Medicago truncatula: one gene and its partner. The protein of the gene in region 2 interacts with the protein of the main gene of each other region in a pairwise test. Links are inferred from orthologs where the notes say so. Each region holds a gene or a part of one and is shown on either strand. Other genes may lie near its edges.

Region 1 (6,670 bases), on a different chromosome or scaffold from region 2:
CAAATTAAACCCACAAATAAAGAACCTCCATTAATTAGTCTGAGAACAAGGTGTGTGTATGTGTGTGCGTGCGTGCATGTGTGTATGTCCTTTCCATATACTATGATTAAAACCAGCAGTACAACGGGAACAATATGAATGGATTATAAGTCAATACAAAATCACAAAAACCGAAAAATCTGTGTACCTGGGTTTCCAAGTTCTCAAACTCTGCTAAAATCTCCTCTTCATCTTCTGCTGATAATTGCTCCCCAAGTATTGCATTAATTTCCTTCAAATTCAGCAAAACCATGTAAACTATCGGCAAGTAGATGAGAATTGACAAAGAAAAAGTAGCAGCCAAATATATTAACAGCCCAACAGAACAAAAATATTAATCAACCCAGTACAACTTCAATGCCTAACCCCGTCCCCCAAAAAGATACACTCAAGTTCAATGAATCTAGATGTGGAAATCGGTTTTCAGAAGCAGCAAGCGTAAGGATAAGCGTGAAATCAAGCTCACATCTTGATAAGCTTTTGCTTCAGCGGTGTCATCCATAAGTTTCTGAACATCTTCAATGTTTATCTCACTTTGTATGGCCTCAATTGCTTTACTACCAGCCTTTAAACTTTCAAAGACAGCCTTCTGCTTGCTTGTCAGTTCAATATCTGCTAACTGAACCAACAAAGTAAATGTAAGTATCTCTTTTAGGCGTAGAAATTTATATTCATGTTAAAAGAGGGCAGTGTTGTCGCTCAATTATCTCTTCTGAACAAGACATCGAAAAGGGAAAATACCCAATGGCTCAATAGACAAAGACAATTGTAAAGCCATAGAAAGATGCTAACAGGCAGAGATTATCGGAAAGGAAAATACTCAATGGCTCAACAGACAAGAACAAATGTAAAGCCGTAGAAAGATACTAACAGGTAGAGAATGAGTCATTATTATTGGTCCAAACCAAAACAAATAAGTAGACTTTTATAAATAAATGACAGAATAATAAAATCAATATAAAAATATTACTTGTTGCTCAACATTTATAAGCCATGTGTCAACTTGCTTCAACAATTCTTCTTGTGTCTTTTTCTTCTTTAACGCCAACAATGCCCTGTCTTTCTTCTTTTCACGAATCAAGTCTCGTGCAGCTTGCTTTTCTGCTTCAATAACAGCATCAAGCTGGAAAATAAAGAACACGGAAAGGGAAAAACTCAAGTAAGGCAATGTATCATCTTTGATACTTCAGTGCTTATGTTCTATCCAAAATCCAAAACGCTATATCATCCCAGTTAATAACCAAAAAAGTGCAATCATCACCAACGTTCAGCTAATTCATTTTCCATACACCAGATACAATCAAAGACGGTCTAATTTTAACTCAGTGTTATTAATCTTGGATCACACAAAATATAGTTTTTGTTCAAATTCCTCTAAGCTACAGTGCTATAGCGGTGCAGCAGCGGCTGGTTTGACAACATTTTGTTACTAAATTGCATACCGTAGGACAATAGAGATTTGCTAAATTTCCTCTATGCTATAGCCGATATTTATTACAATTTCTTGATATAACTTGAAAAGTATGTAAAACTAATGAACAAATATTATTGATGACTTTATCGATTGAACAAAAGTAATCAATACAGTGGTCCTATTTATACATATAAGTCCATATGAAAATGAGAAGAAGTTAACAATAACTAACTTAACTAAATCTAAACTAACTATACTTGAGTTCAATTACTTTTTGATCTTTTAGCCCTAATAAGTAATTACCAGAAAATTTGACGTGCACAATGAGAATGGAATAAGAGATATGAAATTGAGGGTATTGAAAAAGGTAACCTTTTGTTGATACTGAGCAAGTTTGCGTCTCTGGGTCTTGAGTGCTAGAATTGCACGATCTACGTCGGTTACCTTAGGTTTCTTCACGAATATATTCCCCATCGATTTCGATTTGTAAATTCGATGAGGATGATCAAATTCAAAAGATGAGAGAATTGAGGTTTTGGTCGTTTCCAACACAGCTGACAAACAACCTTAAAGTTTCGGTCTGTTTGGAACAGATGATTTAGGAAATAGAGAAATATGTGAGGGACAAATAAGGGATGTTTCTATTGATTACTGTAGCAGTGAAACACACAGGAGAAAGAAAACCTATGAGCCCCACTGCTTTTTGGTTTCTTCGCTGGAATGACGAGAGAGTTGTTTCCTGTCACTTTGCACAAATACCCTCATCCTAAAAAACCCAAAATTGTATAATCAACTCATGATACGATTCCTCAAACTTTTTTTTTTTTCTTGGTAGAATTACAAATAAAAAAACTTTTGTTAGCTCTAACTAATTGTTTTTTCATTTTCCAAACACACACTAACAGTGTGTTTGGTAGAGAAGAATTAAGGGAGAGAGAAGTTGAGGCGAGAGAAATAGAAGAGAAATGGGAGAGAATTGAAACATGTGGGACCCACATATTTTTTATTTCTCTGCTCATGAGCGAAGATAGAGCTGAGAAAGGGCTACTTTTTCAGATTTCCATATTTGCCCTTGCCTCATTCATTGTTTCACTGCACTCCTTTTTTTTTTTACGTGAGTTTTTACTTTTCTTAAGGAGTGTGAGAGTTGCTTTCTTATTTTTTATTTTTGACAAGTTCCGTTCTTATTATTTTTAAGGTGTGAGTTCATTTTTTCTATCAAAACATTAAATTCGTCAAATTAATTAATAATTAAAATAACTAAACTATTTAAACTTTTAATTAATAAGTAATATTATAATAGGTTCTTAAAAAAAAGTAATATTATAATAGGTAGTTAAATTAATCTAGTTATTTAAACTACTTAAAATTATATCAAGTGATTGAATTAATTAAATTATTTTTATGAGATTTTTTATCTCAAGGGTATTTTTGTACTTTTTGATTCAATCAAAACTTCTCTCTTCTCTATTTCTTTTATCTTTCTCTTCTATCAAACAATCCCTCAAATCTACTCTATTTCTCACCTCTTTCTCTCTTCTCATACTCTCTCTTACCTATTTCTCTCTTCACAACTTCTCTTCTCAACCAAACATATCCTAAATGAAATCTTAACTCAAAATTATTTAAAAAAAAAAAGTGAGAATATGCAGCTTAACTCAAAATTATTTCCAAAATCTCACCTCATTTTTAAAATGTTCAACCTTCCCTTTTAAACAAGGGTCATATCAACCTGTGTGCTTAGGACACAGGTTATGAAGCTTACAAAGAAATTAAGCATTAAATGCACAAGTAAAAAAGATAAAATATAAAGCTTTCAAAATTAAGAATATGCATGCCTTTGGCCCTCCTTGTAATAAAAAAATATTTAAGAATATGTTGTAATTTAAGATTTTAGTTCTATTTTGGTTTCTTATCTTGTGCTCTATCATTTCCTTTTAAACGAGTTAATAAAATATAATCGGTTTTTGGATCAGATACCGAGTTTAAGAAAACAATGTAAAAATTTTAACTTACATTATGATCTAGCGATTATTAATGACTGAGAGCACTCTAAAATATAAATAAGATTAAACCATCAAATTAGTTATGTCTTTATAAGTCATTATCGAACTAGTTTTCGAATATATTAATATTTCAAAATAGTCTATCTTTATAAAAAAAAAATTCAATTAGATCCTTCGTCATGTGACAAAAACATAAAGGCAGAAACTTAATTGAGTAGTTTAAGATATTAATAGAGTCGATCATTAAATTAAAAATGATTTACAAAGACATATACTAATTTAGTGGATTACTCTATAAATAAACAACTCTATAAGATTTTTTTATTTTATTTTTAACATTTAAGTTTTTATTTTTTTAAGGAGCATAAGTTTTTTTTTTTTTTTTTTGACACAAAGAACATAAGGGTTGTTTTCTCTCTTTAAAAAGAGAGTTGAACATGATTCGACTCACTCACTGGCTCTTCCATTGCACAACCGTTTGGGCGCCAAAAAGGTTTCTAGGTTTTGATTTTTCGCTTTTCGCTCTTCCAATTTCTGCTTCCGTGTATTCAATTCCACTAACTCTCTCAAATCACGTTACAGTTACCTCACACCGCGAGTGAAATCAACGCTCACAGTTTTGGAGAAAATGTCTGGAACTGGAAAGGGGAAGAAGAGGGAAGAACTCGACCACGCTTCCGAGGACGATACTGAATCTCACGCGCCTCCCAAAAAGACCGCCAAGAAAGACACTGAAGATGACTCTGGTGACATCGTCTTTGAGGTAGGTTCCTCAAAAACCCCCAACTCCATTACTAGGGTTTTCTTGTTGTTGTTATTGAAATTTAGGGTTTTGTAATTTTTACTATTTTTATTGATTGATTTCGTTTCACACAGATTGGGAAGAACAGGAGGGTTTCCGTCAGGACCTGGAACAAACAGCCTTGGGTTGACATTCGCGAATTTTACACCAAAGATGGCAAGCAGTTGCCTGGCAAAAAAGGTATCGGATTCATTTTCTCATGAATCTGTGAACATGGTTCCGTTTCGTTGTTTATGAAATCTTTTAATGGCTTATTTGCTTATTGATTGGGTTTTGAAATAGAATGGTATCTTTATATCGTGGTTGCCTAGTTTGTTATTTGAAGAGATTCTTGAAATGTTGAATAGGATCATAGGATGTTCAAGTTGATGATAACTGCAGTTTTTACTTCCATAAGTTGTAGTATTCGATGTTGTCAATCATGCACTATAGCAGTGCAGCGTGACCTTCAAGAGTAGCGGCAATTCTACTATCTGCGATACCATTTTTTGGGGTTGTGCTACTCGCCACTATTTGAGATTAACAACATAGGTCTTAGTGATGCATGATGTTCTAGGTGCTCTATCCATTTGTACTGTGTACGCTGATCTGATTTGTCTTGCCAGTGAACTCAATTGGCAATTGTGTTAAGTTGTATTGGATAGATGACTCGTGAACTTAATTATCAGCAATATTATTTGATCCTTGTTGACTTGTACTGTGTGTGCTGATCTGATTTGTGTTGCCAGTGAACTGAATCGGTGATTATGAAATGGTGTTAAGTTGTATTGGATAGATAACTTGTGAACTTAATTATCAACAATATTCTTTGATTCTTTTGAGTTTTGATTGAAAGTGGTGGCCAACTTATGTTGGAGCTCGTTATGTTAATTGTGTGTGTTTCATAATGAGATTTTATTAGGCTTAAATCGTTTTAAATTCTAGCATTTTGTGAGAAAAATATAGGACTCCTACTGATTGTAAGTGTGCGTGTTTTTTGTAAGCATTTATTTGCAAACATTTAAATTGGGAAAGTTTGGAAGTAGTTTTAGGAAGTTGAAAATACTGTAGTTGGTTTAATCAAGTGAATGGACACTGGACCTGATTTTGTTTATCAGTTTTGAAAATTGTCTCCAATTCAATTTTATGGAAATTTTGGTTAACACAACTTTTGTTGCATCATATAGATGAAATTCAAAATCCTAATGATGGTATAGATTTTTAAGATAAGCTTGGAGTATGTTGGCTTTGTGAACTGCATTTGTGTTGGAAATTTTAGGCGTGCTTGCTTCCCTTTCCCTTTCCTACCAAACCTTGATTGCTGTCTTATTGTTGAAAACATAAGTTATCTTGCTTGGTGGTGGCCGTTGAATTTATGTAAAGAATTTACAATGACATTTGTTCACTTGTTTTCAGGTATCTCATTGAACATGGAACAGGTACTTCTTGAAACTATTGATGTTGTATACTTACAACTTACAACTTATAAGATTTGAACCCATTATTCATTGATTAATTGTCTGTCTGTCTGTCTGTCTCTCTCTCTTCTGTGTGCAGTGGATTGTGCTTCGTGATCACATTGAAGAAATTGACAATGCAGTCAAAGAGAAATCTTAGGAATTTGTGCACTAAATGGAATTACTAGTCCAAACACTATCTGTGGGTTTCTTTAGTTTTTTATTAATCATTAGAAGCACCTGACATGGATCCAAACCTAGGCTCAAAAATTTGAGATTTGAACATGTGGTTATTAGTGCATCTGTGCATGTAAAGAAAGTGTTGATTGGTTAGCGTATAGTTCCGTTATTTGCTAATGCTAATATCTTGAAACTTGAAAGTTTTGAATTTTGGGCTTAGGTGTGTGTGGAGATATTTTTGTTTTTTAATCTTTTCATTTTAATTTGCATTTTTAATGATTCTTTTTTTTTTTGCTATACATATTGGCAATAGATAACAAAATGAATATTTCTTGAACTACGGACTGAAATTGAAAATGATCTCTTCGAGCTTGTTTGATTCTGTTTTAACTCCTTAGTTTTTGAAAGTTGTCTAGTAAAATCATTCTAAAACTATTTTCTAATAAATATTTTTGTAAAAAAAGTAAATATGATTAATTTTGTTTTTTAACTTCAATAACACAGTAGAAGGCACGGTTTTGTGAGTTTGTTTTATAACAATTTTAACCGAATACATTTTTAATATAATAAAAATACAGGTACGTTTAAACAAGAAAAATAAGCAAGTCTGTATTTGCGTATTATATATATTTAATTGCCATGTGAGTTAAAATCATATGCCAACAATATACGTTACAGCGATGAAAGCATGTGCAAGAATTTTCATTAAAAAAAATTAAATCCGTTTTGATCTTCATATCATAATTTTCATACGTATGTTTGTTTCCCCTCGTTTCTTTCCCTGCAATTTTCG
Region 2 (6,965 bases):
CTTCTCAAGGTCAGACGACAGTTCCTGGTATGTTGTATAGTTTCTTAGATCTACCTTCCTAAGATAAGGAGCGCCATCCATGCTAACCTTCACAAATAGTGCAGCTGCACCAGGCTTTCCATCCACTTCGTCATTGTTCTTTGAAGTGGTGGCCAGTGAGTTTTTCCTAAATGATCTAATAGGAGGCCAACCAACAACTTGTGCTCTGTCGTACATAGAAAGTAATTAGCATTATTACAAAGACATCAAAAAATCCCTTCTAAGGTATTGAGTAAACCATTGCTTTAGTCATTGAAGAATCACTCTCTTCTATTTAGTCCCTAAACTAAATCAAAATAATAAATAGTCCTTAAACCATCTGACATCTGTCAAGTTAGTCCCTAAACTATATGAAATTCGTCTCTTTAATCCCTAGTAGCTCTTGTCAATATATAATAGCAAGAATTACCGATTATTTCTATATATTTTACAGACTAAGTAGAAGAGAGAATGATACTTAAAGGAATAAACTGAAGGTTTATTCTTAATATATTTGTCCAACTAGATTGTCCAGAAAATAGTGGATCCTTGATGTAGCATGTTCTACTTACTTAGCAGCCGGTGCACTGCCACTGATGGGAGCTCCAGTTCCATTCGCTGTACAAGGGCTCTCTTGTACCACCTTCTTTGGCATTTCTTTAATTGTAGTAGGCTGAGCTCCAGAAGGTCTCGGCGAAAGCAGTATGTTTACGCGAGTATTAGCAGTATATTTTGCCTGCATCACATATTGTTAAGAATCAGACTCAAAAGCAGTATGAACATCCATTTGACCTTTTGTTATTCAAAATTGATGTGCAAAAGCATCCCTATAGTTTCAACAATCCCATCTAGGTTAACATCCCAGACACTAAAATCATTTGCAACACACCAAAAATATATTAACTCTAGTAAAAGGAAAAAGTTTAATTTTTCACCTCAGGAAACACTTCCAGTGTGTCGGCGAAACCTCTTTTGTTGCCTGAAACAACGGTCTTTTGGGACAACGAGCAGATTCCATCTTTAGTGGGAAGCAAAGGGAAAAGTGGTTTCTCGTCAAGTTTTGTTGAGTTCAACGGAAAAAGATCAAGATCCCTTTCAGGCGACTGAGATCCAGGAAGTCCGAGCCTTAACTCCGTCGCTTTCAAATTTAGGTTCTCTTTTTTCTCATCAGACAAGCTTGGGACAGTAGAACTGTCAACCGATGAGCAATCAGACAATCCGAGGTAATTGCGTTCCTTCAACCCAGCTGCAGTTTGAGAAAAACGGTCCAAGGATTGTGGAGATGCAGATGCTACCGTTGAGGGGTTGCTCTGCCCTTCCTCTTCAGGAAGCAGCAGTGGCGGAGACATCAGATTCCAAATATGCAAACTGTCATAAAAGAAAGTTATAAAAGCACAATTCACGCAATACATTGGCAGAAAGATTAAACAGACCGAATTTTTACACTTCATATAGGACGAACATGGTAACCATTTCATCTAACTATGAATGAAATAATAAAAGTAGGCTAGCACAGACTATGTAGCACTAACACTTCAAATTAAAAGTGTTTTTGGCGTCTGACAACGACACACCTCGTTACCTTCAGTTATTCCATTTTGTCAAATTAGTAAAATGATGTCGCATGTTAGTGTTAGTGTTGTGTCCGGTGTTTGACCCAATTCTTCATAGTGCAAAGACTAAATCAAGATTAATAAGAGGGCATCCAATTGCATGTGAACACTCTTAGACAATGTTTAGAAAAAGGGTTGCAATTACAATCTCGGCTGTGACATCAAGATATTTAATATCTGTGCAACTGCGATTGATGCTACATCAGCCGCATTTAGCCGTGATTTTCCACAATATCAAGGATTGCAAAGACAACCACGTTTTAAATCTCTGCTTTTGGATATAGTATATATTATTATGTATGTATCAACCTCTGTAGCATCGACACTTTTGATCGAAGGCGTCAATGTCCCTGTCGGACATGTAATTACATTCAATCGTATCATTTTTTCAAATTACTATCAGTGTCGACGTGTTAGTGTCCGGTGTGCATCAGTGCTCCATTGGTTTTTCATCTAACTAATAACTTTAGAAGTGAGAGCAGACATTTTTGATTTATTAATTAATGGTCAAGTTTGGTTTTTATAGGAACCTATCATTTATCATCTATGAATGATTTTATCTCCAAGATTAGTTCTTCTCACCCTCTCACACGGATCAAAATAACATTTTTACCCCCTAACTTTCACACTGATCAAAATATATAAATAAGTCTTTTTTCAACAAAAATATTATAATAAAGCTCATGAAATAATATTCGAACGCTTAGAAATGGAAAATACCCTTCATTTTTTAAAATCGTAATTAACATGAAAAAATGCGTTGTACCAAAAAATAAAAAAAGTAAAATGTGAAAAAATGAAAATACCATGAAAAATTTGGGATTTTTATTTTGCAATAAGGAAACCCCAACATAATCTAAGTAAAATTTAATAGCCCCATATTAAGCAATAAATTAAACAAAAAATCAACTTGCAAGAGGAAAAAAAGTAAATTTATAAAAATAGATCCACACCCACCTTTTTTCCAAATTATTTCCTTCAAATAAAAAGAAAAACAAAAAAAAACAAAACTTTTGCTAAGGAATGTGAATGAAAAAACTAAGAAACAATAACATAAAAGACACAAACATAAACAAACCCGAAAGCAAAATAGCTAAAAACAACAACACAAGAACAATTATTGTCGAAAAAAAAAATAAGAATAAAATAAAATAAAAAATGAAGCATAGAAGTAACATACCTGTGAAAATGGAAGGTTGGTGTAGAAGGCAGAAGAGAGAATGAAGAAGAAGAAGAAGAAGAGAGAGAGAGAGATTATTCCTTGTTGTTTGAAGAATTGGCAGAGTGAAGAAGAGTGAAACCTAAAGAGCAGAAGAGAGAGAGTGAAGTCTATTCTACTCAAGGGCCTTCCATTCCATTAAGCACAAAGCAACAAAAAGTGTGCTTTGGAGTGTGTATAATATACATACTCATAAAATAATTTTACCTTTTTCATCATAATACTAATATTATATTCATTTTAAGGGGACAGGGGCAAAACAGACCAAACATCTTCTGTTACCGTAACAACTTCCACACTTTCATTTCTTTACTTTTAATTCCAAATTCTTTTTAGTCTCCTTAAATACGTCCTTAGAAGTAGCTCATTATCCTTGCTATTGAAATCAAGCAACTTGATATCAATTTCACTTTAAGTTTAAAAAGAAAAATTAGCTTAACTAACTTAAAAATAACCCTATTATTTCGGTACCAGAAAATTGACTTTGTATTTTTTCCTTAAATTCCTAAAAGAAAAGAATTACGATATGAATATTTATATGTCTGTTTTTTCTTCTTCCTTTATCATCTAAAAAGTGTAACAAACTAAATGAGTATATTTATACTTACTTTTTTCATTATACCAATTATACTTTAAAACAATATTTTCTATAATAAAGATTGTTGTTGATGTCATTAAAAAAAGAATTTGGATTTTTTTTTTTGTTATATTGTTGGTGTCATAAAAATAGATAATCATGGTTAATTTGGTTTGTTATAACTTGAAAGCAACAAACATCTATATTTTTAGTTTTAATCAAAATCAAAATTTCATAAAAAAAAACACTGTTTATAATTTTGAAACGTTATCGCAATAAAAAGAGCGGAAAGACAGATACATTGAATGTCCGTCTTTTCGCTAGTTATTTATAAAGAAAATGAATATTCTTTTATGTGATTCCAAGTATCCTAATTGATAAAGGTACTAACACAGGTCATTGCATTGTATACTCCCTCCGGTTGCTATTATAAACAAAATTTAATTTTTCAGATACATTGAATAATTAATGTATCATGTCCATAACAAAGACTAGATACATTAATTATTCAAGACTAGATATATTTAAGTGAAGGGTGTTTGGGTTGAGTTACTAATTTAATACTCTAAGTTAAGTGAACATGTAGTTTGACTTAATTCAGGTTGCAGTATAAAAATCGTAAACTGAACTGAATCGCATTGTTGAATGAAAAATTGACCTAAATACCACTAAACTAAACAGAAGTTTTGCACTTTTTTTTATTGCGGTTTTCTATTGAAATGGTTTGATTTTCGACATCCCATGAATTCCGAAATTAAACAATGATAAAAGAAAATTTGGTATGTTTTGTCAAAATAAAAAAAAATTGCTATGTCTTCCTTTTTTTTGGTATGTTGTCTATAAAAAAAAAATGGTTATCCCCGTGATTATCTTTTTCCTCCAAGAAAAATAATTACTAATTAGAACTCCATCCATTCACTCTTATCTTTTAAGTGTGATTTTGTAATTTTTTACACGTACCAAAGATATTTAATAAGTATGGTTAATTTTGATATTATCATTTATATTTTACCTATATTATCATTAATCATTTATATTTTATTCCATCTAATTTTCTCTTTGTAATAAATTGTAAGGGTATTTCCCTAACAAGTGGCGATCAGTTTGAACTCTTCAGATCAATCAATCCTTGAATCAGATACCAAGTTTAAGAAAAATAGTAAGGGTATTATTGATAAGTTAATTATTAATATTGTATTGAACTTTAAAAATGACAGTTAAAAAAAAACAAAATTTTCTTTCAAATATGACACTTAAAAAAGAAACGAAAGGAGTAAAATATTTTATATAGATCAACGAGGATTAAGACTAGAAGAAGGGGTTAGACCGTCACATCAAAACAAATTATGACTTAGAGATAAGGTCGCAATTAATAAAATTATGGCTAAATTGAATTTTTGGTCCCATAACTATTTTGCTAGTATCGCTTTGGTCCCTTAATTAAAATTTGATGTATTTTGGTATCTTAATTTTCTATCGTTACACATTTTGATCCTTTATGTTAGTTTTAATTCAAAAACGTTAGGTTTTCTTATGTAATTTTTCTTGGATTTTTGTTGTTGAAAGGTTGATGGAGATGATATGAAGATGAAGAAGAGGAGAAGAAGATGACCCTAACGTTTTTGAATTAAAACTAACGTAAATGACCAAAATTTGTAACGATAGAAAGTTAAGATACCAAAATAAATCAAATTTTAATTAAGGGGTCAAAGCGATACTAGCAAAATAATTAAGGGATCAAAAATGCAATTTAGCCTAAAATTATCTACAATATGGAACATGAGAAAAAAATGTCATATCTATTATTTTATGCAACATTGATCAAAGAGAATTAGTTCATGGAGGGGTAAAAAAACAGTGCAAAAAGTTGAGAAAAATCAACTCTTAAGTTATTAGAAATCTCACATCTAGTATATAAAAGTGTTCGATGTGATATTTAAGTCATGCGACTCTTTGATTTAATGTTCGATTTTTGGTTTGTGTTCTCCTCGCACGCCTAGGTCATAACAATCGATGACTTCATTGAGAGGTAGACCAATGAAAGAGCAACAACACAAACAAAATTTTCTTTCAAATATGGCACTAAAAAAAGAATCGGAATGAGTAAAATATTTTATATAGATCAACGAGGATTAAGAGTAGAAGAAGGGGTTAGACCGTCATATCAAAACAAATTATGAGTTAGAGACAAGCTCACATTTAATAAAAGGGTCTTGTTAACGAGTGCCCCCGAGACACTCTTTAAGCATCCCAAATTTAACAATAATTCTTTTAAAAAGTCAACTATTACAATTTCCAATGCATTCAATACACAACTTTTCATTAAAAACTTTCCATTTAAAGGTGCTTAAAGAGTGTAAGGGGATACTCGTTAACATTTCCCTTAATAAAATTATCTACAACATGGAACATGAGGAAAAAATTGTCATTTCTATCATTTTATGCAGAATTCATCAAAGAGAATTAGTTCATGGAGAGGTAAAAAAAAAACAGTGCAAAAAGTTGAGAAAAATCAACTTAAAGTTATTAGAAATCTCACATCTAGTACATATAAATGTTCGATGTGATATTTAAGTCATGTGACTCTTTCATTTAATGTTCGATTTTTGGTTTGTGTTCTCCTCGCACGCCTAGGTCATAACAATTGATTTCATTGAGAGGTAGACCAATGACAAAGCAACAACACAAACACAATTTTCTTTCAAATATGGCACTTAAAAATGAAACGGAATGAGTAAAATATTTTATATAGATCAACGAGGATTAAGACTACAGAAGAAGGGGTTAGACCGTCACATCAAAACAAATTACGACTTAGAGACAAGCTCCCATTTAATAAAATTATCTACAATATATAGAACATGAGGAAAAAATTGTCATTTCTATCATTTTATGCAACATTCATCAAAGAGAATTAGTTCATGGAGGGGTAAAAAGAACACTGCAAAAACGTTGAGAAAAATCATCTCCGAAATTATTAGAAATCTCACATCTAGTACATAAAAATGTTCGATGTGATATTTAAGTCATGCGACTCTTTTGTTTAATGTTCGCTTTTTGGTTTGTGTTCTCCTCGCACACCTAGATAAGGTCATAACAATTGATGATTTCATTGAGGTATACCAATGACAGAGCAACATCTAAACTTTGATTAAAGTGTTCAACCAAATATTGATATCTATGTGAAGTCTCCATAAATAAAAGAGTTATCATCCAATCAATGTCGGTTGACGGAAAGCCATCATAAACACCGACTCTTAATGTTAAAAGTCCGACATCGATTACATGAAAATATTTAATGTGATACTTTAATTAGCTCAAGTTCTTCCACATAAGGAACTATTCTTTTGGTTCCAGACTCTCCCCATTTTCTTCTCTAAAAAAAAAAAAGACTCTCCCCATTTTCTTAACAAAATCACATGTGGAACTATAACATCGATCATTTTCAAAATGACCATTATTATTTTCGGACGTCCTTTTTCATGCTCAAAATATCATAATGAGTGATACCACAGTCGATGTTTGTAGGATGTTGACA

The links.
Region 1: the proteins of auxin-responsive protein IAA9 (region 2) and RNA polymerase II transcriptional coactivator KIWI interact in binary tests that used the Arabidopsis thaliana proteins (3 or more experiments, as listed by UniProt). The link is inferred for Medicago truncatula from reciprocal best matches to the Arabidopsis thaliana genes IAA9 and KIWI.

Annotation. Positions count from the first base shown.
Region 1 is NC_053044.1:47,690,236-47,696,905, forward strand, and holds RNA polymerase II transcriptional coactivator KIWI, read left to right. Parts: upstream 1-3,826; 5' UTR 3,827-3,896; coding exon 3,897-3,952; exon of another isoform or gene 3,953-3,960; intron 3,961-4,041; coding exon 4,042-4,222; intron 4,223-4,335; coding exon 4,336-4,441; intron 4,442-5,656; coding exon 5,657-5,679; intron 5,680-5,797; coding exon 5,798-5,857; 3' UTR 5,858-6,146; downstream 6,147-6,670. Other genes in the region: vacuolar protein sorting-associated protein 20 homolog 2, read right to left, coding at 188-271, 506-658, 1,010-1,162, 1,826-1,927. UniProt on the Arabidopsis thaliana protein: General coactivator that functions cooperatively with TAFs and mediates functional interactions between upstream activators and the general transcriptional machinery. Binds single-stranded DNA.
Region 2 is NC_053049.1:30,676,928-30,683,892, forward strand, and holds the start of auxin-responsive protein IAA9, read right to left. Parts: upstream 3,012-6,965; 5' UTR 2,812-3,011; intron 1,387-2,811; 5' UTR 1,368-1,386; coding exon 954-1,367; intron 755-953; coding exon 591-754; intron 206-590; coding exon 1-205. UniProt on the Arabidopsis thaliana protein: Aux/IAA proteins are short-lived transcriptional factors that function as repressors of early auxin response genes at low auxin concentrations.